Macaca mulatta: one gene and its partners. The protein of the gene in region 7 purifies or fractionates together with the protein of the main gene of each other region. This does not show direct contact. Links are inferred from orthologs where the notes say so. Each region holds a gene or a part of one and is shown on either strand. Other genes may lie near its edges. The genes, in order: SQSTM1, ARID1A, COP1, CCT3, DNAJA2, BAG2 and SOX2.

Region 1 (4,229 bases), on a different chromosome or scaffold from region 7:
GCTCTGGGAACAGTCCCTTCTAGGCAGTTAACCTGAGTCATGCGGCTTATAGTTCTTCATAAAGAAAGGAAAGAAACTAGCCCTAACTTCTGTAACAGTCTAAGTCACTCTGCGACTGGCTCTCCTCAGCTGAAACCTCTCAGTCTATTTTACTAAAATCTTCCTTGTTTGTAGAGCCGCAGGCTCCTCCCTGGTTAGGAGAAAGCAATTCTACCCACTTTGAGCCTTTAGCTTTTAGTGCTCAAAGACATCTGAGCACTTGCAAGATGATTCCTGTCTGTGCCAAGTGGGGCGTCCAGTTCAGTTCTGACGCCGAGATGCTGCACCAGCACAGGCGGGTCTTGAGACAGTGTGACCCCAAGCACCTGGGCAGCCTCCCAGACAGATCCCAGGCCCCACCAACACCCACTTACCACAACCAAAACAGGTAAGGTCTGGGGATCTGCACTCTCTTAAAGTCTCCACCTGAACCTACACTTGCTTCTGTGACTTCCCAGGATGTCTCCTCCTTTGTTCTTTGAGTGAAGGACTCTTGTTCGAACCTCCAAATTCACCTGCAATTTTTCTGACCTTTACTATGCCCAGAGTGAGTTGCAGGATTGAGGCACAGCCTATCTCTCAGTCATGATCTCAGTGCTCCACTGTTCTACCCTCCTTCGAAGGCATTAAGAATACTGATTCTAGGCTGGGCACGGTGGCTCACACCGGTAATCCCAGCACTTTGGGAGGCCGAGGCGGGTGGATCACGAGGTCAGGAGTTCGAGACCAGCCTGGCCAACATAGTGACACCCCGTCTCTACTAAAAATACAAAAATTAGCCTGGCGTGGTGGCGGGCATCTGTAATCCCAGCTACTCTGGAGGCTGAGGCAGGAGAATCGCTTGAACCCAGGAGGCGGAGGTTGCAGCAAGCCGAGATCACATCATTGCACTCCAGCCTGGGCTACAAGGGCAAAACTCCATCTCAAAAAACAAACAAAAAAACCAGAATAGCGATTCTTCTTTCCTATTCTCTGACTTCGCCTCTAAACTCTAGTACAGAAGCCATATGTGTTTGGGCTGTTTAGTACAGCAGCAATGCCAAGATGTCACTGCTGCCTCAAAGTGGAATGAGCAAGGCCGGGCGCAGTGGCTCACGCCTGTAATCCCAGCACTTTGGGAGCCCAAGGCGGGTGGATCACGAGGTCAGGAGTCAAGACCAGCCTGGCCAATGTGGCGAAACCCCGTCTCTACCAAAAAAAATACAAAAATTAGCTGGGCGTGGTGGTGGGTACCTGTAATCCCAGTTACCCAGGAGGCTGAAGCAGGGGAATCGCTTGAACCCAGGAGGTGGAGGTTGCAGTGAGCAGAGATCGCGCCACTGCACTCCAGCCTCGGCGACAGAGCAATACTCCATCTCAAAAAAAAAAAAAAACCTGGAATGAGCAGAGTTGGAGCAGATGGCAGTCATGCCCTGTAGCCACAGGAGGCAGCAGGCAGGGTTCGGATGCCCCTCCTGGCAGCATTCTCTCAGACACTGAACACAACCTTTGGACAGACTGACACAGCCTGCCACTGCAGTCGCAAAAACAAGCTCACTCTTCTAGAGAGATGCAAGTGTCCCAGCGATCCATCTGCCATCACGGATCCACCGTCATCTTGAACTAGAAGTTGGCTTCATTCACTGATTCTTACTGCCGCGTGCCTAACCCTGCAGCACCCACCCCAGACCCTTAGCCAGACACAAGCACTTTCTAAAGCCCAGCGGGGAGGGGTCTCAGAGCCTGAGCTCATGCCTGGGGTCAGGTGGCACCACTCTGGGGGTACACATTGGGGTTTGCCCACCCCAGCAGACCCACTGTGCAACCTGAGGCACCAGAACTGGCTGTCACCCAGAGTACCTGCCTCCACCTTCTCCCCGCTCTGATGCAGGCCCAGCGCCCAGAAGCACTGGAAAGGTTTGGGGGTTGTAAACTAAAAGAAGGAAAAGATAAATAGCATCTCTACTACTACCCAGGTCCTCAAAAGTCCAAATCCCAAGGCCTGGCTTAGGGGAAAATGCAGACTATTGTTCACCCAAAGGAGGCCAGTCAGAGGTGACAGGCAAGCCCTACAGCCAGACCCTGGTGACCCTGCCTCACTGGGACTGTCCCAACCAAATGCTGATTCTACTTCACTCCATGTAGAAAGCTTGAGAATTCTGTCAGGGAATTCAACCGTGAGTGAGTTGCCTGTGGTCCAGGATTTAGTAAAGGTTGACTTGAGGCAACAAACCCTCACCAGTGTCAAGGGCATGTCAATTACCCATTTCTCTGCGGTATTCCCGGTGAAAGTGACAAAGTGCAGGCTGAGTTAGGCAAGCGCTGGGCAAGGAGGTGCACTCACCCAGAGGGCTAAGGGCGGCTGCCACGCTCTCCCCCACGTTCTTCAGGAAATTCACACTGGGATCCTCCGATGGACCAGCAGCTTTGATTTTTACAAAGATAAGATAAAGATATCTTTAATGCCTTGGATACCTGTCACCTTCTTGCCAAGGTCCCTGTGTTCCTGGGTGACCTTTAACCCAGACGCCTTGTCCAGGGGCCCACTCAGCATCCCCCTTCTCCTCCCTCCCACTCTGCACCCCCTGGCCCTGCACCGAGAGCCTCTCCTCTCTCGCACGCCGTTCCCCCTCATCTGCGACCCTGGTGCTCAGCAACCCCACACAGGCTCAGGCTCGGTACACTGTGAATATTGATCACATCCTTGAGTAAATATTTACTCAAAGTCAAGCAAACATCCCCATCTTTGTCCCAGAGGGTGGGGTGATTCACAGGACACAGTAACATTAATAAAATCAGAATCCAAAAATCTAGACTACAAAGCTAAGGGTAAGTCTTTAACTTACAACTATGTTTAAAAGGACTTGAGAAACTTGGGCTCTGATCTTCGACAACCATCACAAAAGAGAACAAAGTGCATCAGAAACTCTGGGCTGGAAGGGCCTCCCTGCCTGCACCTCACGGCACCTGGACAGGGCAGCCTCCTGAGGGGGAAGGGCTATGCAGGTGAATTTGTGGCTTCAGGCACTCACACCTCAGTTTCCCTGTTTGGGAAATGCAGAGAATACTCCCCACTTTGCAGGTTCTTGTGCGATTGTAGGACACCAGGAAGGTGGGGAGGTATCTTGCCTTGCACACAGGCTTTGCACAAGGGCTCTGCGCACAGGCTGCCTGACTACTGTCACCATTCAGAAGCCGGTTCCAATGCAAGCCTCACCTGATTCCACCGTGGGACCAGGGCGGGCATCCCCTGCACGAGGTGGACGTGGGCTCCAGTTTCCTGGTGGGCCCATTTCCCATCCTGGCCACCCGAAGTGCCCGTGTTTCAGCTTCCGGAGCCAGCGGCTGTGCGAGAAGCCCTGGGGGAGGAATTAGCAGAGGGGCAGGCAGTGAGCGGGTCAAGGTTCCTGCCACCCTGAGCCCACCCCAGGCCTGCCCAGAGGGCCTGCTCACCTCAGACAGGTGCCCGAAGGGGCTGGGGAACGCGAGCTTGGTGTGTCCCTGGTGCAAGCCCTTTCCCTCACAGACGCTACACAAGTCGTAGTCTGGACAGACGCTGCACTTGTAGCGGGTTCCTACCACGGGCCCGTTGCAGCCATCACAGATCACATTGGGGTGCACCATGTTGCGGGGCGCCTCCTGAGCACACGGTGGGCGGTGGTCCCGCCGGCACTCTTTTTTCTCTGCAGGAAGGGCAGAGAGAGCTGCTAGGGTGCGGCCCCCTAAAGTGCTCCCCCTCTATCATCACTGTGGGGCTGTCACTGCCAGCAAGGCCCCTGGAACTGCTCCCCAGCATGGAGTCCACACAGAATTCAGCTGCTTAGGTGAGGGCGGCAGAGCAACCAAGAACCTGCTAGGAGGTTCCCAGTCCCTGTGTCTGTTACCTGGGAACCGTGGCCCAGGCAGCAGAGCAGCAGCAAGGAGCCCGGGCTGCATGACTTGGGCCTTGCTCTTCACCCAAGCACCGCGGCAGCAGACCCCATACCTAGGGTGAACACGGACTCCTCTTTCTCAGGTCAGGTCAGGTCAGGCACAGCACTTAGTATGTCTTTTTTTTTTTTTTTTGACACAGAGTCTCACGCTGTCACCTAGGCTGGAGTGCAGTCGTGATCTGCAGTCGTGGAGTGCAGAGTGATTTCGGCTCGCGGCAACCTCTGCTCTCCAGGTTTAAGCGATTCTGGTCTCAGCCTCTTGAGTAGCTGGGACTAGAA
Region 2 (4,229 bases), on a different chromosome or scaffold from region 7:
CTGGAGTTGGTGGCTTTAAGTCTCCTCCTTCTGCCATGGAACTGCTGGTTGACTGAGGAGTCTGGGGCCCCTGCATAGATCCTGATCCCGCTGTGGACAGAGATACAATTTGAGCAGTTTGCTTGGCATGAAAGTGTTTAACTCTCACACAAACACACGAATGACCCAGAATCTCTTTGGGAAAGTTCTTCCTAAGGCCTTTAAAGCCTGATCACCCTTCTTAGCAGAGGATCTACAAGGCCAGGTCATGAAGACGGGAATTTGAGGGTTTTGTAGCTCTTTGTTTTTGTTTTACATGTAGAAAAGAGGAGTGATGTGGCCATGACATCACCATGCTGGTGATTCCTTGAGTCACTGCCAGCTTCCCTGGCTATTTCTTTTCACTCCTCCAAAGGACCTTGTCTAACCTATTAAACCCTGTAATGCTGGTGCATGAGCTCCAGTCAGAACCTCCCAAATCCTGGGTAGGGAGGGGCTTCCAAATCTGGGATGTATTTTAGGAGTCTAGGAGCTCCTGTTCTGAAGCATCCAGCTTGGTGTCATCTCTCAAGTTCAAATGTTCTTCTAAGCTGATGAGTACAAAACTACTAGTAATTAATGTTTCCAATAGTTACCATTCCTGGCAGTAGATATCCCACTGCTGAGGCCTCCCCAGCTGATGAGTCATCTCAGGCACTCATTACACCCTCAGAGGTCAACACCAGGGCACATGTGTTTACACCCACCTTCCAGGCACCCTGGTCTTCTTCCCTCTCTAGGCTCGCCCTAGGCCTCAGCCTCCTCTCAGAAAGGAGGGTGGGCAGAGGCACTCCCATCAGGGAGTTCCATTCATATCCTTTCCCCACTCCCTCCTTTCCATTCATTACCATCTCAGCTCCCTGGGGAATTCAGGGCTCTAGTCTGAGCTGCATTCTAAGGTGCTGACATCAAGGGGCCAAAGCTCCCAGATGGCCCTGTCTTGCTGCCATTTGTCAGTTCCCTCAACTCCTCTTGTGCCCCTCCCATTCACAACTTTACAAACATTTGGCAAGTTGCCAGCTGCACGACAAAAAGTAAAACTTTAAGGGCTGCTGCAGAGTACCTCCCAAGGGAGTTTCCACTGCCCACTCTCTAGTCAGCCAACCTATTAAGCCCTGTGGTAGGGCAAGGCAGAGCACAGATCCTTGGCATATCCTACTGGAGGCAGGTACCACTGAATATGAGGCCAGGGCAACAGACCCTCTCAGCCTTGGTGGGGCCACTGACCCCATCCTTACCAGGAGAGGGAGGCTGGATCTTGGGCTGCGACTTCTTGGAATCAGCAGCTGCAAAGATGTCTGGGGGAGGGTCTTCTCCCCGTTCAATCTTGCATTCAAAGGCATAGAGACACTGGATATACTGCTTTTTCAAGGAGCTGGCAGCACTGCTTGATGTGCCCACATTGAGGTTGGTTGCAAGTTCCCGCCATTTTTTGTTCTTGTTGACCTGTATAATCAAACCAAAAGAGTCGGGGTATATCTCCCGCCTGGTTTTCTGCCCGAAAGTCCCAAGCCCCATCAGGCTGCAAGGTATTCATCTTTGTAAAATCACAGTTCTTAGTTAATTAAAAAAGTTAAACTTGCTTGGTGGATACTCCACAAGAAGTGCTAATCTGCAGCTGGCTTCGTTTTACCCTCAGGATGTTCCACTGCAACTATCAGACTGTGCTTATGCAAAACAGGGCAAATTTCACATTACTACTGGAACAGAATTCAGAGTCCAGTTTTTTAGTACACTGCTGAAAAATGGTGTACAAATCATCTGCATATCTAAATCCTTTTTTTTTTTTTTTTGTTTTGAGACAGAAAAAATAAATCTCGCTCTGTCGCCTAGGCTGGAATACAGTGGCACGATCTCAGCTCACTGCAACCTCTGCCTCCCGGGCTCAAGCGATTCTCTTATCTTAGCCTCCCCAGTAGCTGGGATTACAGGCGTGCACCACCACTTCTGGCTAATTTCTGTATTTTTAGTGGAGACAGGGTTTCACCATGTTGGCCAGGCTGGTCTCAAACTCCTGGCTTCAAGTCATCTACTCGCCTCAGCCTCCTAAAGTGCTGAGATTACAGGCATGAGCCACTGTGCCTGGCCCTAAATCCTATTTTAAATGCACTAATAAAAACTAACATTTTATAAAATGGAGACTCGTGATAGTATCAATGACCACCCTGCTTGACTTGCTTTGTTAAACTGAGAATTTACACATCTGATTTTTTTCTTGGCATGGTGCTCCCTGCAAATTTGACATTCTTGTGCCACTGGCTCCCCTAACATATCTCACTGACAAATAACCGCAGATCCCTTTCCCTTACCAGTCACTGTCCTGATGGTCCAGGTGTTCAGGGTCTTATTTATTTACTTAGAGACAGAATCTCACTTTGTCACCCAGGCTGGAGTGTAGTGGCGCCATTTCTGCTCACTGCAACCTCCTCCTCCTGGGTTCAAGTGATTCTCCTGCCTCAGTCTGCCAAGCAGTGGGACTACAGGCGCCTGCCACCATGCTCCACTAATTTTTATATTTTTAGTAGAGACAAGGTTTGGCCATGTTGGCCAGGCTGGTCTCAAACTCCTGACCTCAGATGATCCGCCCATCTCAGCCTCCCAAAGTGCTGGGATTACAGGTGTGAGCCACTGTGCCTGGCCCAGGGCCTCATTATGACTTTTTTTTTTTTTTTTTTTTTTTGAGACGGAGTCTCGCTTTGTCACCTAGGCTGGAGTGCAGTGGCGCGATCTTGGCTCACTGCAAGCTCCGCCTCCCAGGTTCATGCCATTCTCCTGCCTCAGCCTCCGAGTAGCTGGGACTACAAACGCCCGCCACCACGCCCAGCTCATTTTTTATATTTTTAGTAGACAAGACGGGGTTTCACCATGTTAGCCAGGATGGTCTCGATCTCCTGACCTCGTGATCCGCCCGCCTCGGCCTCCCAAAGTGCTGGGATTATAGGCATGAGCCACTTCGCCCGGCCTTATTATGACTTTTGTACCTCCCCAGCAGCCAACCTACAGTTCTGCCTCCTTCCCTCAGCTTTAGGGCACACTGACCAAGCCCATTCCCCAGATGCTCCCTACAATTAGTCTTTCTGCTCTAGATGGACAGGTCTCCTTCTTCATGTATTCTTACGCTTATTCATCTACCATATGGTAAATCTGTTCCCCCAAGGCCTGGGAACAAGGGTTTTCCAGTCCCTGTACACAAAGGAAGTTCAGTAAGTCGTAATGTCTGCTGATACGGTACCCATGACACTAGAAAGAGGAGTTTCAACAGGCACAGAGGGGGACAACCTAGATGGGGCAGAGGTGACTAGGAATACTTCTTAGAGTGGGTAACACCTGAGCTAAGTCTTCATGGTTGGAAACGGCTTTGGTGGGAAATATCCAGACTCTCTCCCATCTCCGTGGCATCTAGGCCAGTCTACTGGATTGGCCACTCTTCCACCTAAACCCTACTAATCCTTTAGATAAGCTCAAGATGCAGCTTTGCTTTCTTGGAGCCTTCATAAACTAACTTATAAAAAGCACTCTTTTGCCCCTGAATTATCACTGTCTTTTAAAAGTTCAATTACAAGGCATTTTAAAGGTTTGCATCCTTTTGCAATCTGGAAGAGACTCAGACATCAGAATTCTCTCTGTATCTCATCCTAGGTTCAGTGAACCCTGAAGCTCACCCAATCAGAAGCGAGCGAAACCTAACCCAAAGCTCCCCTTCCCTATAGGCAGGGAAGACTTGACTATGAGATCTGAGTATCAGGGAGAATGGCAGGAATATACATGGAGTCACCTCAAAAGCCTTCCATGGCTTTGCTTCTCATGCCAGTTATGTGGCAGTATGCACGTGTCTTGTTTTGTTTTGTTTTCCTTTGTGGGGGAGGGGAATAAAGCCTGAAGGGAGAAGGAATTCGTAACTGACTGTTGGCTGGCTTCATTCCAATCACTTTCTTTTCTGCTGGTGACAGCTGTTTTCCTCTTCTGATTTAGAAGGTCTGGAATAAGTCCCTCCCTGCCACGCCTCCCCGAGCTCAGCCACAAACTGATCCAACAGCAGGCTTCTGGTCTGGTGACTACAGAACACACACAGGAGGAAAGTCTGCAAGGCACAGTCTGCTGTCTGCCTGTGCTGCCTCACCTGTTTGCCTCCTAGGCTAAGTCTACAAAATTGTAAGGTATCAGAGTAGGCGCAAGCTCTGGGTGGTGTCCAATTCAGGTTATCATTTAAG
Region 3 (4,229 bases), on a different chromosome or scaffold from region 7:
TATACATAATGCATAATAGGAGATCCCAAGGTGAAAAAACTGATATGAAAACTTACCCCATCTGGTAGTGCCCTCCAGCACACAGCACTAACAAATTCATTTGTATCATCTTCTTTTCGGTCTTTGTCCAGAACACTTTTGACTGTATCAAACTTAAAAGTTAGCAAAGTCTTAGAAAGTCCTTTATAGTACAGGTACAGAGAGTTATTCTCACTTCCTGAAAACAAATAATAATAATAATAATATTTTAGAATAGGAAAACTCGGAATTAGGACATCACATTCTAATAGTAATTATCACCCAAAGTTTTAGCTCAAAGATCTTTTATGGTCAAATTTGAAAGGCTAGATTACAGGACTAATTAGAAATCATGTAAGAAAAGGATTCTTGGACAAAAGCTATACTTTACTGATCTAAAGAAACAATCAATGTTAAATGATATGACAATATTGATAATTCCGAGGCTAAAATTACCCTATAAAAATCATTTATATAGGTTAGTGCAAAAGTAATTGTGGGTTTTGTCATTACTTTTAACTTCTGCACCAAGCTAACAGTCTATAGTAGAACCAGAAATATGTTATTATAGCAAGAATCTGAAATTACATTTAGAAAGATTTCCACTTAGAGAGGTAAAAGAAACTGGCAACACTTACATAGGCAGATTTTAATAGCCTACACAATTTATTTCCATTTCTCAGTATAGGAATTATTTGATTAATGGTCTATGAACTGTATTTTTGAGCCATCTATTAAGATAGGATAATTGTTCCAGATATTTGCTTTGGCAGTCTCATACACATGTGGAGAAAGTCAACTTTGCTGAATAAAGGCCAAGTCATTTAAAAGTATGATCAAAGCTCATATATTCAGGCATTAGATATATCAGAGCATTTGAATAATATCAAATTTGATTTTTCTATTTCTTATTTAAATTTGTATAAATTATCAACAATAAAAGTCCTAGAATAACAGATCAATACTATGCAAATAGATTACTTCATGGAGAGAACAGCAGGTAAGGGAAAATGAATATCAAGCTTAAGAAGACATATAATGTCTCCAAAATTGGAAATATTACTAACAGAACTTAACCTTTTCTGTCTCCCACGCAGTATCTAAAGAATTACGTTATAATGGAGAACAACTACAAAACAGTTAAAAATCAGGTGTTCAGGTATTTGAGGTGTTCAGGGTTTGTACACAATAAAAAAGGGAAGGACTAATGCTCTTCTAGTACAACACAAGGAAAATCAATAATGCTGGGGCATCATGTCTATTATACTATCTTCTAAGTGCACACACCATTTCCTGACTTAATATTTAGTCTATTTCCATTGAGTTCAATTTCAATAACAAATACCTGTTAAAAAGTTCCTGGAAACGATGGTTTTACTTACCACAAGCTATATAATCTCCATTGGAAGCCAGGCCTACAAAGTTTTTTTCATTGATATGACCCTTGAAAGAACGTAGGCAGTACGGTTTTCCTACATTCCACAGTTTTAGCTGACTGTCTGTAGAGCTGAGGAAAAGTATAAAGAGTAAGAATGTATTTAAAATTTCTTGACACGAAACTCATCACTACTAATTAGAGGCAATGCAGTTTGCTGGTTAAGAATGCAGTCTCTGGAGCCAGACTGAGTTAGAATGTTCATCTGTCAGCCAGGCGTGGTGGCTCACGCTTGTATTCCCAGCACTTTGGTAGGCCGAGGCAGGTAGATCACTTGAGGTCAGGAGTTCAAGACCAGCCTGGCCAACATGGCGAAACTGTTTCTACTCAAAATACAAAAATTAGCCAGGAGTGGTAGCATGTGCCTGTAGTCCCAGCTACTTGGGAGGCTGAGGCAGGAGAATCACCTGAACCTGGGAGGCAGAGGCTGCAGTGAGCTGAGATCACGCCACTGCACTCCAGCCTGGGTGACAGAGCGAGACTCTGTGCCAAAAAAAAAAAAAAAAGTTTTCTTTTCAACATATTTAAAATCACCATGAAATCACAGAGAAATGAACATGTCAGTGTAAAAGCCAACCAAGTAATATTTAAAACCAAAAATAATTCTACCACTATACTGCAACTAGATAAAATATACAATAACACATTAGTTGACTTTAATAAATAAAATACTTCTCATTATATTGCATCGACTATGTTGTTTATCTCTTCTTAAGAAGCAATAGCTAAAATCCAATCTGAAGTTCAAATGCAATTAAACATAGGAGGATGAGTTAAGGGGGGAGCATATATAAAAAAACCAGTATCTTCAGGATTATATCCACAATTTACATATAGTAGAGCACAATACAGACCAGAATCCACACTATTTTAATTGGACAAGATAAAAAAAATACTATTTAAGAAAAAGCACATATACTCCAACATTATAGTTTACATACATCTTCAGTGACATTACAAACTGGTAGGTGTTTAAGTACAGAGCTCTGTATTAAGCTTGACCTCTGAGGGGAGTAATACTCACGCAGAGACAATTTCCTCACCACTCACAAACTTGGCGTAAGAGACTGCTTTACGGTGTCCTTTGAATACCATGATTGGCTGTTTAGTGTTACGAAGATCATAGTAGTGGACACAGTGATCTAAACCAAAACAAAATTAGATAAATGTAGTAAACGCAGAAATGGAAAGCAAAGTTAATTTAAACTGGTTTTTGTTTTTTTCATTAAAAGTTTCACATAGAATGTCTAATCTCTAACAGCCAGAAAACAAAGAAAAAGGAATTCTTTTCTAAAATAAGACTGGCTCTAGAAAGAGAGTATTAAGAGGTCAAAATAATTGGAAACTTAAAAATCAATCTATGTTTTAGTGGCGTCATTAAAAAATGTTAATATAAACATTATGGGACATCTGGATAAACATAATGCTATATAATCTTATTTCCCACATTTGCTTTAAAAAATTAGACATATTTTATATACAATACACACGCTCAAAGTATTGCATGCAATTCAATGATCTTTACTACATTTAACCAGCAGTTCAACCATTACCATAAATCAGTTTTATAATATTTCTGCACTCCAATAAGATCACTCATTTGGCATCCACCATCATAGGCAATCTCTATTCCTGTCTGTCTCTATCACTAATTTCTATGATAATCTTTATTATTTCCTTCCTTCTGCTTGTCTTCAGTTAGCTTTGTTACTCTTCTTAAAGACAGACACTTAAGGATACACAATTCTCTACAAACATTGCTTTGGCTGACACCACAAATTGTGATACGATGTGTTTCCATTTTCATTCAGTTTAAAATCCTTTTACATTTCCTTTGTTATTTCTTCTTTGACTAATGAGATATTTAGTAATGTGTCATGTAATTTCCAAATACTTGCAGATGTCTCAAAGCAACTATTGTTGATTTTTAATTTAATTCCATTTTGGTCAGAAAACTGTTTTGTAAGTCTTCAATCATTTTATTGACAGAAAACTGTTTTGTATGTCTTCACTTTAAATTTATTGACTTTTTTTCAGTCTTAAATATGGTCTCACCTGGAGACTGTTTAAAGCTTGCTTGAGAAGAATGTGTGTTCTTCTACTGTTGGATGAAGTGATCTTTGGATGTTTGTTATGTCAGGTTGGCAATGTTATTCAAGACTTCTATAACTTTGCTGATTTTCTGTCCAGTTTTTCTATGAAATATCGAAAGTGGAGTATTTTTCAACAACTTCAGTCAAATTATCTACTTTTCCCTTAAATACTGTAGATTTTCTTTTCATGTATCTACAAAAAGTTTGTTTTTAGGTGTGTTGATAATTGATGTATGTTTTCACTATTCATCCTTTTACCATTATAAAATGTCTTTGTTTCTAGTACCGGTTTCTACTCTAAGTATTTTCTGTTTGACCTAAATACTGCCATTCTACCATTTTTGTTGATTACTACTTACATGGTGTATCTTTTTTCATCCTGTTACTTTAACCTACGTGTGTCTGTGAATCTAAAGTCTATCTCTTGTAGATAGCATAAAGTTGGATTCTAATTTTTTTGTAAACCCATTCTGCCAATCCCTGAATGTTACAATGTTCAACATACTTACATTCAATATATTAAAAGGTTGCACATCTGAAATCCAAAAATCCCAAATCCTTGCTTTTGGAGCGGCAACATGACAATCAAAGTTCCAAATGCTTCATTGGAGCATTTCGGATTTTGGATTTGAGATGCTGAACAGCAAGTACAATAATGCATACTTAACAATGGAGATACACTC
Region 4 (4,229 bases), on a different chromosome or scaffold from region 7:
GGGATTACAGGCGTGAGCCACCGCGCCCGGCCAATTCTTCCCAGTTCTAATTAAAGGTACCTTGTTCTGGCCAGGTGCAGTGGGTCACCCTGTAATCCCAGCACTTTGAGAGGCCAACATGGGCGGATCACCTCAGGTCAGGAGTTCAAGACCATCCTGGCTAACACAGTGAAACCCCGTCTCTGCTTAAAATACAGAAAGAAATTAGCTGGGTGTGGTGGCGGGCATCTGTAATCCCAGCTATTTTAAAGGCTGAGGCAGGAGAATAACTTGAACCTGGGAGGTGGAGGCTACAGTGAGCTGAGATTGCACCACTGCATTCTAGCCTCTGGGCGACAGAGCAAGACTCCATATCAAACAAACAAACATACCTAGCCCTGATTTAAAACTATTTCATTCAAGTAGGGTGCGATGGCTTATGCCTGTAATCCCAGCACTTTGGGAGCCTGAGGTGGGAGGATCACCTGAGGCCAGGAGTTCAAGACCAGCCTGGGCAACATGAGACCCTCATCTCCACAAAAAGAAAAAAAAAAATAGCTGGGCACAGTGGCATGTGCCTGTAGTCCTAGAAAATCAGTGGATTTGCTTGAGGCCAGGAGTTTGAGGCTGCAGTGGGCTATGACTGTGCCACTGTACTCCAGCCTGGGCAACAGGGTGAGACTCTGTCTCAAAAACAAAACAACACTAAAAACGAACTATTTCCTCACAAGTGAGATGACTCATGCTAAGATATAATTTGACCCAATGTATACACTGTGAAAGTTTACCTTTTCCACTTTTGCGTATTTTTTTATGTCAATCTCTTTCCGACCATTCTCCTCAAACTGTACCGTCTTGACAGCATCCAGGGCAATGTTGCAAGCCAAAGATGACCATCGACTGATGGCTTTGGTAGTAATGGAGCTGTTGATGATGTTCAGCATCATATCACTGTCATTGATGTCGACTGGGATACTAGAGAAAGAAAACCAGACGATATGTGAAGAAGGCATGTTAGATATGTAGAGATGTGCCTCATCTATACCGCAGTGACTATAATAATGGACCAAGAGGCAGAACACGGGGACTTTCTTTTTTTTTTTTATTTTTTTATTTTTTTTTTATTTTTTTTTGAGACGGAGTCTCGCTCTGTCGCCCAGGCTGGAGTGCAGTGGCCGGATCTCAGCTCACTGCAAGCTCCGCCTCCCGGGTTCGGGCCATTCTCCTGTCTCAGCCTCCTGAGTAGCTGGGACTACAGGCGCCCGCCACCTCGCCCGGCTAGTTTTTTTTGTATTTTTTTAGTAGAGACGGGGTTTCACCGTGTTAGCCAGGATGGTCTCGATCTCCTGACCTAGTGATCCGCCCGTCTCGGCCTCCCAAAGTGCTGGGATTACAGGCTTGAGCCACCGTGCCCGGCCGGGACTTGTTCTTTTGGAGGAAACAAAAAGGACATTAGGAGGTAACCTTTATCCATTCCTCTGCCTTTCAGCAAGATTACAACTCATCTGTAGAAGTGCCTTAATTCCCTGAGCAACCCTTTACACTTACATACAAAGATTATAGTAAAATAATTTGTTCCTTATTTTCTGCTTCAACCAAGTAAACTTTTCAACTTTTACAACTCAGATCAAGACACTTTTTTTCTATGAAACTCTATCCTGTAACTAGCTAACTTTAAGAGTTTCATCAATCATTCATTTTGAACAGCAAATTTTATTTTTTAACTCATGGTGTGCCACAGTGGTCAAAGATGACCACCAACTGGTCATCTTTGTGTTTTTATGTTACTGTAAACACATTTTCTGTATTTTCCATTTTTATATTAATTTCAGTCTCTCCTCACAAGATACTTTCACATAATGCTAAAATATCTTTTTTGGCCGTGCACAGTGGCTCACACTTGTAATCTCAGCACTCTGGGAGGCCAAGGCAGGCAGATCGCTTGAGGTCAGGAATTCGAGACCAGTCTGGCCAATATGGTGAAACCCCAGCTCTATTAAAAATACAAAAATTAGCCAGGAGTGGTGGCCTGTGCCTGTTGTCCCAGTTACTCTGGAGGCAGAGGTTACAGTGACCTGAGATCGTGTTACTGCACTACAGCCTGGGCGACAGAGATTCCGTCTCAAAAAAAAAAAACAACACCAAAATAAACCAAATTCCTCTTTTAACAGTGAAAGGCACATAATATACCAATTATTAAATGGTTGAATTATGGACTTTTGGGAAGAAGAAATGACTCCAAAAGTAGTATCTAAGATAAAGGGGGCTGGGTGCCATGCTTCACACCTATAATCTCAACACTTTGGAAGACTGAGGAGAGCTTGAGGCCAGGAGTTCAAAATCAACCTGGGCAACATAGTAAACCTTATCTCTATGAAAAATAAAAAAAATTAGCAGGGCGTGATGGACACATCTGTAGTCCTAGCTACTTGGGAGGCTGGGGCAGGACTGTTTAAGGCCAGGAGCCGGAGGCTGCAGTAAGCTGTGATTGCACCACTGCACTCCAGCTTAGGCAACAGAGTGAGACCATATCTCTAAAAAATAAATTTTTGGGGAGGCCGAGGTGGGTGGATCACCTGAGGTCAGGAGTTTGAGACCAGACTGACGAATATGGTGAAACCCCATCTCTACTAAAAATACCAAAATTAGCTACGTATGGTGGTATGCACCTGTAGTCCCAGCTACTTGGGAGGCTGAGACAGGAGAACTGCTTGAACCCAGGAGGCAGAGGCTGCAGTGAGCCAACATCGTGCCACTGCACTCCAGCCTGGGCAACAGAGCAAGACCCCCCACTCCCCCCCAAAAAATGTTTTTACATAAGACTAAAGTGTTCTAGGTAGGCAGTTATTACTTGATTAAAAAATATATATTTTGGGCCAGGCACGGTGGCTCATGCCTGTAATCTCAGCACTTTGGGAGGCCAAGGCAGGCAGTGGGCAGATCACCTGAGGTCAGGAGTTTGAGACCAGCCTGACCAACTTGGAGAAAAACCCCATCTCTACTAAAATTACAACACTAGCCAGGCCTAGTGGCACATGCCTATAATCCCAGCTACTCAAGAGGCTGAGGCAGGAAAATTGCTTGAAGCCAGAAGGCAGAAGTTGAGGTGAGCCGAGATCCAGCCACTGCATTCTGGCCTGGGCAACAAGAGTGAAACTCCATCTCAAAAAAAAAAAAAGCTAAGGGTGCAGCTCCACACAATAAAATCTCTAGGTACCTCTACATTCTCACAGAGCTTACTGCATAAAAATAATTAAACACTTCATTCCTTAAGTGTGCCAGACAAAGATATTAGTATACAACTTGTTTAAGAGCAGGCAGTATATGGCTGGGCGCGGTGGCTCACGCCTGTAATCCCAGCACTTTGGGAGGTCAAGACAGGTGGATCACCTGAGGTCGGGAGTTCGAGACCAGCCTGACCAGCATGGAGAAACCCCGTCTCTACCAGAAATACAAAATTAGCTGGACGTGGAGGTGCATGCCTGTAATCCCAGCTACTTAAGAGGCTGAGACAGGAGAATCGCTTGAACCCGGGAGGCGGAAGTTGCGGTGAGCCGAGATCGCGCCATTGCACTCCAGACTAGGTAACAAGAGCAAAAACTCCATCTTAGGAAAAAAAAAAAAAAAAAGCGCAGACAGTATAATATAAACCTCACCAAATTACTAAATACTTATGCATCTAGTGACTCAACCATATGAGTAGAACATTTAAATAAAGAAAAGAAAAAAACAAACAAACTATTTCCAGTCAGGCATGAAAAAAAGAATACATTATCGATTTTTATTTTTTTTTGAGACAGAGTTTTGCTGTTTGCCCAGGCTGGAGTGCAATGGCATGATCTTGGCTCACCACAACCTCCGCCTCCCGGGTTCAAGTGATTCTCCTGCTTCAGCCTCCTGAGTAGCTGGGATTACAGGCGCATGCAACCACGCCTGGCTAATTTTTGCATTTTTAGTAGAAATGAGGTTTCACCATGTTGGCCAGGCTGGTCTCGAAATCCTGACCTCAGGTGATCCACCCACCTTGGTCTCCCAAAGTGCTAAGATTACAGGCATGAGCCACCGCGCCCAGTCCAGGTCTTACTTTTTATTTTCTTGAGACAGTCTCACTCTGTCGCCTGGGCTGGAGTGCAGTGGCACAATCTCAGCTCACTGCAACCTCCTGGGTCCAAGCAATTCTCCTGCCTTAGCCTCCTGAGTAGCTGGGATTACAGGCACCTACCACTATGTCCAGCTAATTTTCTCCACTT
Region 5 (4,229 bases), on a different chromosome or scaffold from region 7:
TAAAACTTACGGCCGGGTGCAGTGGCTCACACCTATAATCCCAGCACTTTGGGAGGCCGAGGTGGGTGGATCACCTAAGGCGGAAGAATCACTTGAACCCGGGAGGTGGAGGTTGCAGTGAATCAAGATTGCGCCACTGCGCTCCAGCCTGGGTGACAGAGTGAGACTCCATCTCAATCAATAAATAAATAAATCTTAGCAGAACGTTTTCTGATACTTCTGAAAGTCAATTTAAACACAAGTTATTGTGTTTAAATACAAGTTATTGGGGTTGAAGTTAAGGTAAAAGTACAATTTCTGTGTGTCATAGCTTATTGGAGTGGTCTGTGGACAAAAACCTAATGCATAACTTGTGTTTGCTTTAGCCAAGGTGGAAAGTCTGGAGCTGTCCAGAAGTGTAGTGCTTGTCGAGGTCGGGGTGTGCGCATCATGATCAGACAGCTGGCTCCAGGAATGGTACAACAGATGCAGTCTGTATGCTCTGATTGTAATGGAGAAGGTATGTGTGCCAGTACTTCTCTGCTTTTATGTTGAAATGGATTGAGAATGCAGATATTGGAGAGGTTTTCAATTTTTTATTTCAAAGGGTATTTGTTTACATCTTATTAAAGAAAAAGGAGGCCGGATGCGTTAGCTTATTCCCATAATTCCAGCACTTTGGGAGACAGAGGTGGATTGCTTGAGCCCAGGAGTTCGAGGCCAGCTTGGGCAACATAGGGAGACCTCATTACTATAGGAAAAAAAGTGTAGAAAAATATGTAATCAGGAGCTCAGGGCATGTCTGTGGTCCCAGCTGCCTGGGAGGCTGAGGCGGGAGGATTGCTTGAGCCCGGGAGTTCAAGGGAGCAGTGAGCCGTGATCATATCAGTGCACTCCAGCCGGGGTGACAGAACAAGACCCTGTTGCAAAAATAAAAGCGTGAAAGTAATTACTCCATTATGCCTAAGCCCAGTGAATGTAGAGAAACAGTAGATTTGTATTGTGTTAGTGAAAGGTGACTCCTTAATTCTGAAAAGAGGGGCAAGGTGATTATTTGTTCCTTTGCTATTTCCTTCTTTATCAAATATAACCTTTTATATACTGTTTCTGTAGAAATGACCACCATGGGAGGACTTTCTCCTTTCTCAAGTAGAACCTTTTAAACTACAAAGGGACAAATAAATAATAACTAAACAAGTAATTGTTTAGTTACTCTGATAAGTAGAAGATTTTACTGTAACCTTTAGTTAGCTTTAAAGAATTGATTTTGAGATTGAAACTGTCCTCACAGAAGTAAATAATTTAGTCTTTGTGGGCCAAATAGTTTTTGTCACAACTACACACCTCTGACTTTTAGTGCTTTTATAGCCACAGACAAATGGGTATGGCTGTGTTCTGATTAAAATTTTAATTATAAAAACAAGTAGCTCCTCCCACCCCTGCCATTCTAGAGCAGTGCTATCCAATAGAATTTTTTTCTGTGGTGATGGAAATGTTCTGTATCTGCAGTGTTCAGTACAGTAGCCATTAATCACCTGTGACTACTGCATACTTCACATGTGGCTAGTGTGACTGGGGAACGATTTTAAATTTGAATTAATTTAAACATAAACTTAAGTAGCTACAGGTAGATAGTGGCTACCACATTAGACAGTATAGTTCAAGAGCATCCTTTTCCACATTGCTATTGGAAGTGATGAGATAATTATGAGAAGCTACATATGATGTTTGCTTCCTGGATAATCTTGGCATTTTACTTTATTTTTTAAAATTATTATTATTTTTGGAGATAGGGTGTTGCTGGAGTTCTGTGGCGCATTCTCGGCTCACTGCAGCTTCCACCACCCACGCTCAAGCAATCCTCCCACCTCAGCCCCTCACCCCACAATTAGCTGAGACCACAGGTGCTTGCCACCACGCCCAGCTAATTTTTGTATTTCTTGTAGACACTGGGTTTTGCCATGTTGCCCAAGCTGGTCTTGAACTCCTGGATTCAAGCAATCCTCCTGCCCCAGCCTCCCAAAGGGCTGGGATTACAGGTGTTAGCCACCACTCTTGGCCTCCTTTTATTTTATTAAAATTGCTAACTCCCACTATCAAGAAACCAAAGTTAACTGAAATCTTTTCTCATGTACCATTACTTTTTTTTTTTTTTTCCTTTTTTTTTTTTTTTTTTAAATGTGAGACAGTCTTGCTCTGTTGCCTAGGCTAGAGTGCAGTTGCGCGATCTCAGCTCACCGCAACCTCTGCCTCCTGGCTCAAGTGATTCTGCTGCCTCAGCCTCCTGAGTAGCTGGGATTACAGGCGCCCGCCATGACACCCGGCTGATTTTTGTATTTTCAGTGGAGACAGGGTTTTGCCATGTTGGCCAGGCTGGTCTCAAACTCCTGACCTCAGGTGATCCTCCTACCTTGGCCTCCCAAAGGGCTGGGATTACAGGCGTGAGCCACCATGCCCCGCCACCATTACCATTTTGAAGAACTGGTGTTTCGCAGAACATACTTTGCAAAAGTACTGTTACAGAAACAGCCCCTAAATAATCAGTTATACACATCTTTCTAAGCCTCCAAATGTGCCAGTAATTAGCCATTAGAAAGTGACGCAATTTTTTCACACTATACTATGTATAATCACAGTTTTGCTTTTTTATACCATAATTAAATATTTCAGAAGAATATATAGAAGAGAAAAGCCGTGTTGCCCTAAACATGGTATGGATACATTACATTCTGAAATAGTGGGAAGCTGAGTCCTTCAGGCAATCTGCAGTAGTAAGATGTAAGTTTTTGTTATTCAGAATAATGCTTTTTTTTGTTTTGTTTTGAGACATGGCCTCACACTGTTACCCAAACTGGGGTGCAGTGGCATGAGTATAACTCACTGCAGCCTCGACCTCCAGCAGTCCTCCCTCCTCAGCCTCCCGAGTAGCCAGGATTACAGGTGTGCACTACCATGCCGGCTAACTTTTTTTATTTGTAGTAGAAGCAAGGTCTCACTGTATTGCTAGGCTGGTCTCAGATCCTGAGCTCAAGTGATCCTACCACCCTGACCTCGCAAAATACTGGGATTGCAGGCTCGAGCCACTATGCTTGGCCTCAGAATGCTGCTTTGAATAAAAATTTAGGTAGCTATTAAAAGAAATTCAGAAAGTATATTTAAAGGATAAGAGTATTAAAGAGTACAGTATAGTACTCTTGCTGAAAGTTTCAATGACTTCTTTTTCCAGGAGAGGTAATTAATGAAAAAGACCGCTGTAAAAAATGTGAAGGGAAGAAGGTGATTAAAGAAGTGAAGATTCTTGAAGTCCACGTAGACAAAGGCATGAAACATGGACAGAGAATTACATTCACTGGGGAAGCAGACCAGGCCCCAGGAGTGGAACCTGGAGACATTGTTCTTTTGCTACAGGAGAAAGAACATGAGGTGATTTTCCTTTTTTTAGTTTTTTGTGTTTTGTTTTATTCAGAAGTACTTCTTGTTTGTGAGAAATAGGTTAGATCTGTTTGGAGTCCCTGGAGCAACACTGCACACTGGAGAAGTTAAGGGAATCATGGCAAGTTCCTAAAGACAGGCTTGTGTAAGAAAGACTAACAAGGCAGGTGCCGTTAGAAGCACTATAAGAGTCAGTTTTAGTCCTGGCTTGGTTTTTTTTCCCCCCCACCCGAGATGGAGTTTCACTGTTGTTGCCCAGGCTGGAGTGCAGTGGCGTGATCTCGGCTCACTGCAACCTCTGCCTCCCGGGTTCAAGCGATTCTCCTGCCTCAGGCTCCTGAGTAGCTGGGAATGCAGGCGCGCACTACCACTCCTGGCTAATTTTTATTTTTAGTAGAGACGGGCTTTCTCCATGTTGGTCAGGCTGGTCTTGAGCTCCCGACCTCAGGTGGTGCACCTGCCTCAGCCTCCCAAAGTGCTGGGATTAACAGCGGGAGCCACTGCACCCAGCGTTGGTCTTTTTTTTTTTGACGGAGTTTTTTTGACTGCACCCAGGCTGGAGTGCAGTGGCGCAATCTTGGCTCACTGCAACTTCCGCCTCCCAAGTTCAAGCGATTCTCCTCTAGCTTGGTCGTTGACTAGTACTTTAACCGTAGGTAGTCTTACTGTCTCAGTTTCTTTGTTTATGAAAATAAGGGCACTGGGCGTTGGACCAGTTGGTCTAAGGCAGCCTGTTTTTTCACTGTGAAACTCTGCTGCTCTGTTGATTTGGTTTTTACTTATTGGGTAGCCAAGTGAGCTATCCTTGAAAGAGTTCT
Region 6 (3,520 bases), on a different chromosome or scaffold from region 7:
GCTGCAGCTGTCAGTTTATTATAGCAGCCACTTACTCAGAGATTTCTTCCAGCATGCTCTCTACCCCAAGCCATGGCTGGGAGAGATAGGAAAAAGCCTGCAAGCTCAGAAGAGCTGGCCCCAAGCAGTAAGGCCATGTGTTTTATCCCAGGTTCACACTCCTAACTTCAGTTCTTCACAAGTTACTGGACTGCAAGAGATTAAAAAACACAGAGGAAAAAGGGTGAGAATGGAAGCAGAGAAGTAGAGACCAAAAAAAAAAAAAAAAAGATGAATTGAGGTACAACATAAAGAGAGGGACAAAATGCAGAGAAAATGAGGAAACTTGTAGGACCAGTAAAAGGCATGAATGTAAAAATGTGCTGTCATTTTCTTTTTTCTTTTTATGAGATGGAGTTTCACTCGTCACCCAGGCTGGAGTGCAGTGGCACGACCTTGGCTCACTGCAACCTCCGCCTCCCGGGTTCAAGTGATTCTCCTGCCTCAGTCTCCTGAGTAGCTGGGATTATAGGCGCCTGCCACCACACCTGGCTAATTTTTGTATTTTTAGTAAAGACAGGGTTTCACCATGTTGGCCAAGCTGGTCTCGAACTCCTGACCTCAGGTGATTTTGCCTGCCTCGGCCTCCCAAAGTGCTGGGATTACAGGCATGTGACATCACGCCTAGCCTGTGCTGTCATTTTCATGTGAAGAACATGTAATAGGTAGGAATAGGTCACTTGTGATTTTCTTTTTATTGGCACTGGACTTCCTACTTGGGCTCCTTTGGTGCCACACAGGCCACATGTTACTGGGCCAAGTGACTGGTGAGATAAGTAAGCAATCTAAATCCAGATCAAAACTGTTACACATCTATGGTAGGCCATGATCTAGTCTCTACACTGTCCTGCCCAAAGATCAATGAATTAGGAAGTTACAGAAGCAGGAGATTGCTGACTTTTTCATATAAATAATGAAATGTTGATAGAGCTCCTCATGCCGGTCAAGACTTTAGACCACTGTCCTGTTTCTATCTGGAGAAGCATGAAGTCAGTGCCTAGTATTGATGCCAGCTTATCTTCTATCATGGCTATATTTTCTCAACCAAAATTTGGGGCAGTGTATTCTGATAAATGCACATGTCGTTATGGAGAGATCTGGGACATCTGATCTCTGGAGCTGTACCCAACATAAATCCTATATGTGCTTACTGCTCAAAGGGTTAAGACTTGATCTCCATCCCAGTTACAAATGCATACCTACCCAAACTTTTGCAAACATGCCAATTTGAGAAGTCATCTAGTATCCCATATATAAAGATTGTCAGGAAATGGTATTCTACAACCTCTCTCTGTAATCTAATACATTTCATCAGTTAATCTTACATGCTATAATTTTAGCTTGTATCTTTAAAAAAATTTCATAGCAGATACTTAATACATTTAGTCACAAATGCCTTAATGTTCTTGACACAGATAAGTTTATGTCTCATATTGATTGACATTTTAGGAGAAAGAGAAGAATTAAATCTGACTGCAAACCGTTTGATGGGAAGAACTCTCACCGTTGAAGTGTCAGTAGAAACAATTAGAAACCCCCAGCAGCAAGAATCCCTAAAGCATGCCACAAGGATTATTGATGAGGTGGTCAATAAGTTTCTGGATGATTTGGGAAATGCCAAGAGTCATTTAATGTCGCTCTACAGTGCATGTTCATCTGAGGTGCCACATGGGCCGGTTGATCAGAAGTTTCAATCCATAGTAATTGGCTGTGCTCTTGAAGATCAGAAGAAAATTAAGAGAAGATTAGAGACTCTGCTTAGAAATATTGAAAACTCTGACAAGGCCATCAAGCTATTAGAGCATTCTAAAGGAGCTGGTACCAAAACTCTGCAACAAAATGCTGAAAGCAAATTCAATTAGTCTTCAAACCCAACAGCATTTACACAATACACATGGTGTAAAAATGATAAAATACTATTTTAATTGATAACTAGTTCTTTATGTTAGATATAACCACTTAGTTGATACTGACAGTTGTTTCAGATGAGGAAAATATTCCATCAAGTATCTTCAGTTTTGTGAATAACAAAACTAGCAATATTTTAATTATCTATCTAGAGATTTTTTAGATTGAATTCTCATCTTGTACTAGGATCTAGCATATTTCACTATTCTGTGGATGAATACAGTTTGTGGGGGAAAACAAGTGTTCAGCTAGGGGCAAAAGCATCACTGCTTTTTCCTGTGCTTTGGCGTGGAATCACGCAGTCACCTTGGGCATTTAGTTGACTAGAAATTCTTTACCTTAAGCAGCACACACATTTACTACACACAGTGTTAACAAAGCACTGTGCTTAGAGGGATAAAAAGGAATCACAAAACAACAGTCTTTCCAAAGTTGTCTCATTCCTCAATGTTAAGGCATCTATATCAAATTATTTTGGATGTAAAGATTCCTGTGTCTCATAATATGAATGTATTTTTTGATATACAAGAAACTATGACATAAAATGTGAGAAAACCACCTATAATTTGCCACTGTGAACAATTATATATCTGCTTCATCTTTTCTCAAATGCATCAATTCTCTAGAATTCCTATATTGTAACTTGCCTTTTTAAAAAAGTTAGATGCTGATATAAAGCCTGCTTGTCAACTTAATGAGCTCTATTTTGTGTAGTTATATCTTTCTTTATCCATTCCCATCTTACGGACATTTAGGTTGCTTCCAGCTTGTTGCTATTACTGCAACATATTTTTGTACGCAGGGCTTTTTCCTTCTTTTGTTTTCAATTTTCTCTGTATAAAGGCCCAGCAGTGAATTATATTGGATCAAAGGGTATAGACATTTTCATGGCCTCACACACTTATTAAAAATTTTTTGTACAAAGGTTATAGCAATTTATACTTTTTTCAGTAAATAAAATATAGCTATTTCACTGAACTCTTTCCAGCACTGAGCATTAACACTTAGTTTGCATTTTGTTTACTAAAAAGGTTGACCAGTGTGTTGATTCTTCTTTTATCTGTGATAAAGTGAAGCAACTAGAGAACACTTATTTGTTTAAAGTAACTAGTCCTGTTGATATAAACGCAACAACTTCCCTAGATACTATTTTGAAATGAACACATCAATTTTTATTTCAATGTAGGTATTCTTCACACTGAAAAACCAAATCAGGATCCAAACTGATTTTATATATGTCTCTCTCTCTCAATGCAAGCAATATTGAACTTCTTTTTCTCTACAAAAATGCCAAGTTAGTCTCTTTATAAAAAGCAGTTAAAATCTGAAGACATTTGTGTTACTTCCTTTGCCAGCTCCAACTCTGCCTTATTTAAATCTTTCCATTTCATGGGAAACATTAATTCTATCTATGGCAAAGCCACTTGGTTTGTTAGCAGACTCTGATTTGCTGTCATCAGGCTGTGAGATGATTTTTTTGTGTGCATCATTTTTTTCTTGACCAGCTTTTTGAAAATTAAGAAATGGATAGTCAGGTTTTCTTCAAGTTCTCAAGTATTGTCAGCATTCGTAA
Region 7 (3,388 bases):
GCATAATGGAGTAAAAACTTAAGTTGAAAATGTACCTGTTATAAGGATGATATTAGTTCAAATATATACATGGATTCTCGGCAGACTGATTCAAATAATACAGAGCCGAATCTTTTAAAATACAACTACGGAAAATAAAGGGGGAAAAACCTTAAAATATCACAATAAATTTACAGAAATATTACAAACCATAAGAAAATATTTCAAACACAGTAATTTCATGTTCTTTTTTTTATCTGAACAAAATGGAAAGTTGGGATTGAACAAAAGCTATTATAAATTACCAACGATGTCAACCTGCATGGCCATTTTTGCTTTTAACAGTTGAGTTATAAAATTTAGTACAATCTAAAACTTTTGCCCTTTTAAACAAGACCACAGAGATGGTTCGCCAGTACTTATTCTAATTTTTTCCTTTTGTACAATTTTTAAACAATTAAAATGTCCAAATCTGAATAATTTTCTTCTTTCCACGTTTGCAACTTTCCTAAATTTCAGCTGCAGAATCAAAATTCAGCAAGAAGCCTCTCCTTGAAAAATATTGGCAAATTCTCAGCTTATAAACAATGGACATTTTGATTGCCATGTTTATCTCGATAAATACTGTACAAAAGTTGCTTGCAAATATTAAAACATTTTTTTCGTCACTTGGAGACTAGCTCTAAATATTATTGGTAAAGACTTTTGCAAACTTCCTGCAAAGCTCCTACCGTACCACTAGAACTTTTAAAAAGTTTTTCGTAGCTTTCTTTCCTCCAGATCTATACAAGGTCCATTCCCCCGCCCTCCCCACCCTCCCCTGGTTTTCTCTGTACAAAAATAGTCCCCCAAAAAGAAGTCCAGGATCTCTCTCATAAAAGTTTTCTTGTCGGCATCGCGGTTTTTGCGTGAGTGTGGATGGGATTGGTGTTCTCTTTTGCAGCTGTCATTTGCTGTGGGTGATGGGATTTTTTTTCCATTTTCTTTTTGAGCGTACCGGGTTTTCTCCATGCTGTTTCTTACTCTCCTCTTTTACAGCCCTCCCATTTCCCTCGTTTTTCTTTGAAAATTTCTCCCCCCTCCAGTTCGCTGTCCTGCCCTCACATGTGCGAGAGGGGCAGTGTGCCGTTAATGGCCGTGCCGGGCACCGGGCCGCTCTGGTAGTGCTGGGACATGTGCAGTCTGCTGGGGGCGGCGGGTTCCGGCACCTCGGCGCCGGGGAGATACATGCTGATCATGTCCCGGAGGTCCCCGGCCTGGCAGGGCGCCCTGGAGTGGGAGGAAGAGGTAACCACAGGGGGGCTGGAGCTGGCCTCGGACTTGACCACCGAACCCATGGAACCAAGAGCCATGCCAGGGGTGCCCTGCTGCGAGTAGGACATGCTGTAGGTGGGCGAGCCGTTCATGTAGGTCTGCGAGCTGGTCATGGAGTTGTACTGCAGTGCGCTCACGTCGTAGCGGTGCATGGGCTGCATCTGCGCTGCGCCGTGCGCGTTGAGGCCCGGGTGCTGAGGGTAGCCCAGCTGGTCCTGCATCATGCTGTAGCTGCCGTTGCTCCAGCCGTTCATATGCGCGTAACTGTCCATGCGCTGGTTCACGCCCGCGCCCAGGCCGGCGCCCACCCCGACCCCGCTCGCCATGCTGTTGCCGCCGGGGGCCAGCAGCCCGCCGGGCAGCGTGTACTTATCCTTCTTCATGAGCGTCTTGGTTTTCCGCCGGGGCCGGTATTTATAATCCGGGTGCTCCTTCATGTGCAGCGCTCGCAGCCGCTTAGCCTCGTCGATGAAGGGCCGCTTCTCCGTCTCCGACAAAAGTTTCCACTCTGCTCCGAGGCGCTTGCTGATCTCCGAGTTGTGCATCTTGGGGTTCTCCTGGGCCATTTTGCGCCGCTGCCCGCGGGACCACACCATGAAGGCATTCATGGGCCGCTTAACGCGGTCCGGACTGTTCTTCTGGTTGCCACCCGCCGCCGCCGCAGTAGAGTTGCCGCCGCCGCCGCCGCCCCCCGAAGTTTGCTGCGGGCCCGGCGGCTTCAGCTCCGTCTCCATCATGTTGTACATGCGGGCGCTGTGCGCGGGCCCGGCCCGCCGGCGGCCGCCGACCCTCGGCCCGGCCGGGACTTTGGGGGCCCGCGGGCGGGGGGAGAGGAGGAGGGGAGGCGGGCGGGGGTGTCGGGAGCGCAGGGCTCCGCGAGGAAAATCAGGCGAAGAATAATTTGGGGGAAAAAAAGAGAGAGGCAAACTGGAATCAGGATCAAAAAAGAGCTTCCCTCCTCCTACGGCCGATCCTGCCGCCGCCGATGATTGTTATTATTATTTTTTGGAAAGGCTTAAGCCTGGGGCTCAAACTTCTCTCCCTTTCTTTCTCTCTCCTCTTCTTTCTCTCAGTCCTAGTCTTAAAGAGGCAGCAAACTACTTTCCCCCTTTTGCAAACACTCTCTTCTCTGCCTTGACAACTCCTGATACTTTTTTGAACAAGTTAATAGACAACCATCCATGTGACGGGGGCTGTCAGGGAATAAATGGGTTTCTAGCGACCAATCAGCGCGCGGCGGCTCCTCCACTCGAGCCCAGCCTCGCTGCCGGGTTTTGCATGAAAGGGGGCGGGGCCTCCCGCGCCGCCGGCCGCGCGGGGGAGGCCGGGGGAGGAAGGGGCAGGCGAGGAGGGGGAGGAGGCTCCCAGAGCCAGCCTGCCAGCCACTGAGAAACCTTTGTATCCCCTCTCGCAGCAACAGGTCACACCACACGCCTTTTCGAAGGAAGTGGGTAAACAGCACTAAGACTACGTGGGGGTTTTTTTTTTCTTTAAACTTAATATTGATTTACTTTTTGGTGCAGGGTACTGAAATGAGGATGGGACGCGGGAAGCAGCTAAGGTGCGGGGGTGGGGCAGGGCACAGTGGGTGGCTCAGGGCGGCTGTCCAACTCGTATTTCTGGAAACAGCCAGTGCAGGAGTTGGTGTGTCATTGTTCTCCTGCTCATCCACAGCACTCCCCCCCCCAACTCCAGCCCCTCTGGTGCCGCTCCCGTACCGCGCTCTTCCGCTCTCCCCTCTTACCTTACAGGTGCCAACACTCTCACTCCCTTCTCACAGTCCCGACTAGCAGTTAGGAGACCCAAACCTCTGTCCTCAAAACCTTCCTTGCTTCCACGTAACGTTGCTCTGTTCTTAAAAATAAATCCTGCTCGGACCATGAGGCCGACTCTAGAGCTGAGAACCGGCAGGCCTTGGTAAGCTGCCATCTCCCTGTCCAACTCAGCTCTTTGGCCCAGGAAACTGCAGCTCTTCCTCTTAGCCCCAGCCACATCTCCCACTAGACTGTCTTCATTCAACCGTAGCAAAGGGGATGCTCCTACTGTCTCCCCCCACTCCCCATTCCCATCCCATGCCTCCCTGAAAGAAGGGTTT

Evidence for each region.
Region 1: the proteins of SOX2 (region 7) and SQSTM1 purify together in Homo sapiens (affinity purification with western blotting; 3 studies listed by BioGRID, with this or other methods). This does not show direct contact. The link is inferred for Macaca mulatta from reciprocal best matches to the Homo sapiens genes SOX2 and SQSTM1.
Region 2: the proteins of SOX2 (region 7) and ARID1A purify together in Homo sapiens (affinity purification with mass spectrometry; 3 studies listed by BioGRID and IntAct, with this or other methods). This does not show direct contact. The link is inferred for Macaca mulatta from reciprocal best matches to the Homo sapiens genes SOX2 and ARID1A.
Region 3: the proteins of SOX2 (region 7) and COP1 purify together in Homo sapiens (affinity purification with western blotting; 3 studies listed by BioGRID). This does not show direct contact. The link is inferred for Macaca mulatta from reciprocal best matches to the Homo sapiens genes SOX2 and COP1.
Region 4: the proteins of SOX2 (region 7) and CCT3 purify together in Homo sapiens (affinity purification with mass spectrometry; 3 studies listed by BioGRID and IntAct, with this or other methods). This does not show direct contact. The link is inferred for Macaca mulatta from reciprocal best matches to the Homo sapiens genes SOX2 and CCT3.
Region 5: the proteins of SOX2 (region 7) and DNAJA2 purify together in Homo sapiens (affinity purification with mass spectrometry; 3 studies listed by BioGRID and IntAct, with this or other methods). This does not show direct contact. The link is inferred for Macaca mulatta from reciprocal best matches to the Homo sapiens genes SOX2 and DNAJA2.
Region 6: the proteins of SOX2 (region 7) and BAG2 purify together in Homo sapiens (affinity purification with mass spectrometry; 3 studies listed by BioGRID and IntAct, with this or other methods). This does not show direct contact. The link is inferred for Macaca mulatta from reciprocal best matches to the Homo sapiens genes SOX2 and BAG2.

Annotation. Positions count from the first base shown.
Region 1 is NC_133411.1:188,832,558-188,836,786, reverse strand, and holds part of SQSTM1 (sequestosome-1), read right to left. Parts: intron 3,702-4,229; coding exon 3,472-3,701; intron 3,378-3,471; coding exon 3,236-3,377; intron 2,444-3,235; coding exon 2,363-2,443; intron 1-2,362. UniProt on the Homo sapiens protein: Molecular adapter required for selective macroautophagy (aggrephagy) by acting as a bridge between polyubiquitinated proteins and autophagosomes.
Region 2 is NC_133406.1:214,212,931-214,217,159, forward strand, and holds part of ARID1A (AT-rich interactive domain-containing protein 1A), read right to left. Parts: intron 1,465-4,229; coding exon 1,257-1,464; intron 91-1,256; coding exon 1-90. UniProt on the Homo sapiens protein: Involved in transcriptional activation and repression of select genes by chromatin remodeling (alteration of DNA-nucleosome topology).
Region 3 is NC_133406.1:33,461,981-33,466,209, forward strand, and holds part of COP1 (E3 ubiquitin-protein ligase COP1), read right to left. Parts: intron 2,596-4,229; coding exon 2,478-2,595; intron 1,526-2,477; coding exon 1,401-1,525; intron 218-1,400; coding exon 57-217; intron 1-56. UniProt on the Homo sapiens protein: E3 ubiquitin-protein ligase that mediates ubiquitination and subsequent proteasomal degradation of target proteins.
Region 4 is NC_133406.1:110,602,319-110,606,547, reverse strand, and holds part of CCT3 (T-complex protein 1 subunit gamma), read right to left. Parts: intron 955-4,229; coding exon 768-954; intron 1-767. UniProt on the Homo sapiens protein: Component of the chaperonin-containing T-complex (TRiC), a molecular chaperone complex that assists the folding of actin, tubulin and other proteins upon ATP hydrolysis.
Region 5 is NC_133425.1:42,412,270-42,416,498, reverse strand, and holds part of DNAJA2 (dnaJ homolog subfamily A member 2), read left to right. Parts: intron 1-365; coding exon 366-499; intron 500-3,205; coding exon 3,206-3,402; intron 3,403-4,229. UniProt on the Homo sapiens protein: Co-chaperone of Hsc70. Stimulates ATP hydrolysis and the folding of unfolded proteins mediated by HSPA1A/B (in vitro).
Region 6 is NC_133409.1:125,106,683-125,110,202, reverse strand, and holds the end of BAG2 (BAG family molecular chaperone regulator 2), read left to right. Parts: intron 1-1,488; coding exon 1,489-1,901; 3' UTR 1,902-2,713; downstream 2,714-3,520. UniProt on the Homo sapiens protein: Co-chaperone for HSP70 and HSC70 chaperone proteins. Acts as a nucleotide-exchange factor (NEF) promoting the release of ADP from the HSP70 and HSC70 proteins thereby triggering client/substrate protein release.
Region 7 is NC_133407.1:93,815,118-93,818,505, reverse strand, and holds SOX2 (transcription factor SOX-2), read right to left. Parts: upstream 2,040-3,388; coding exon 1,080-2,039; downstream 1-1,079. UniProt on the Homo sapiens protein: Transcription factor that forms a trimeric complex with OCT4 on DNA and controls the expression of a number of genes involved in embryonic development such as YES1, FGF4, UTF1 and ZFP206. Binds to the proximal enhancer region of NANOG.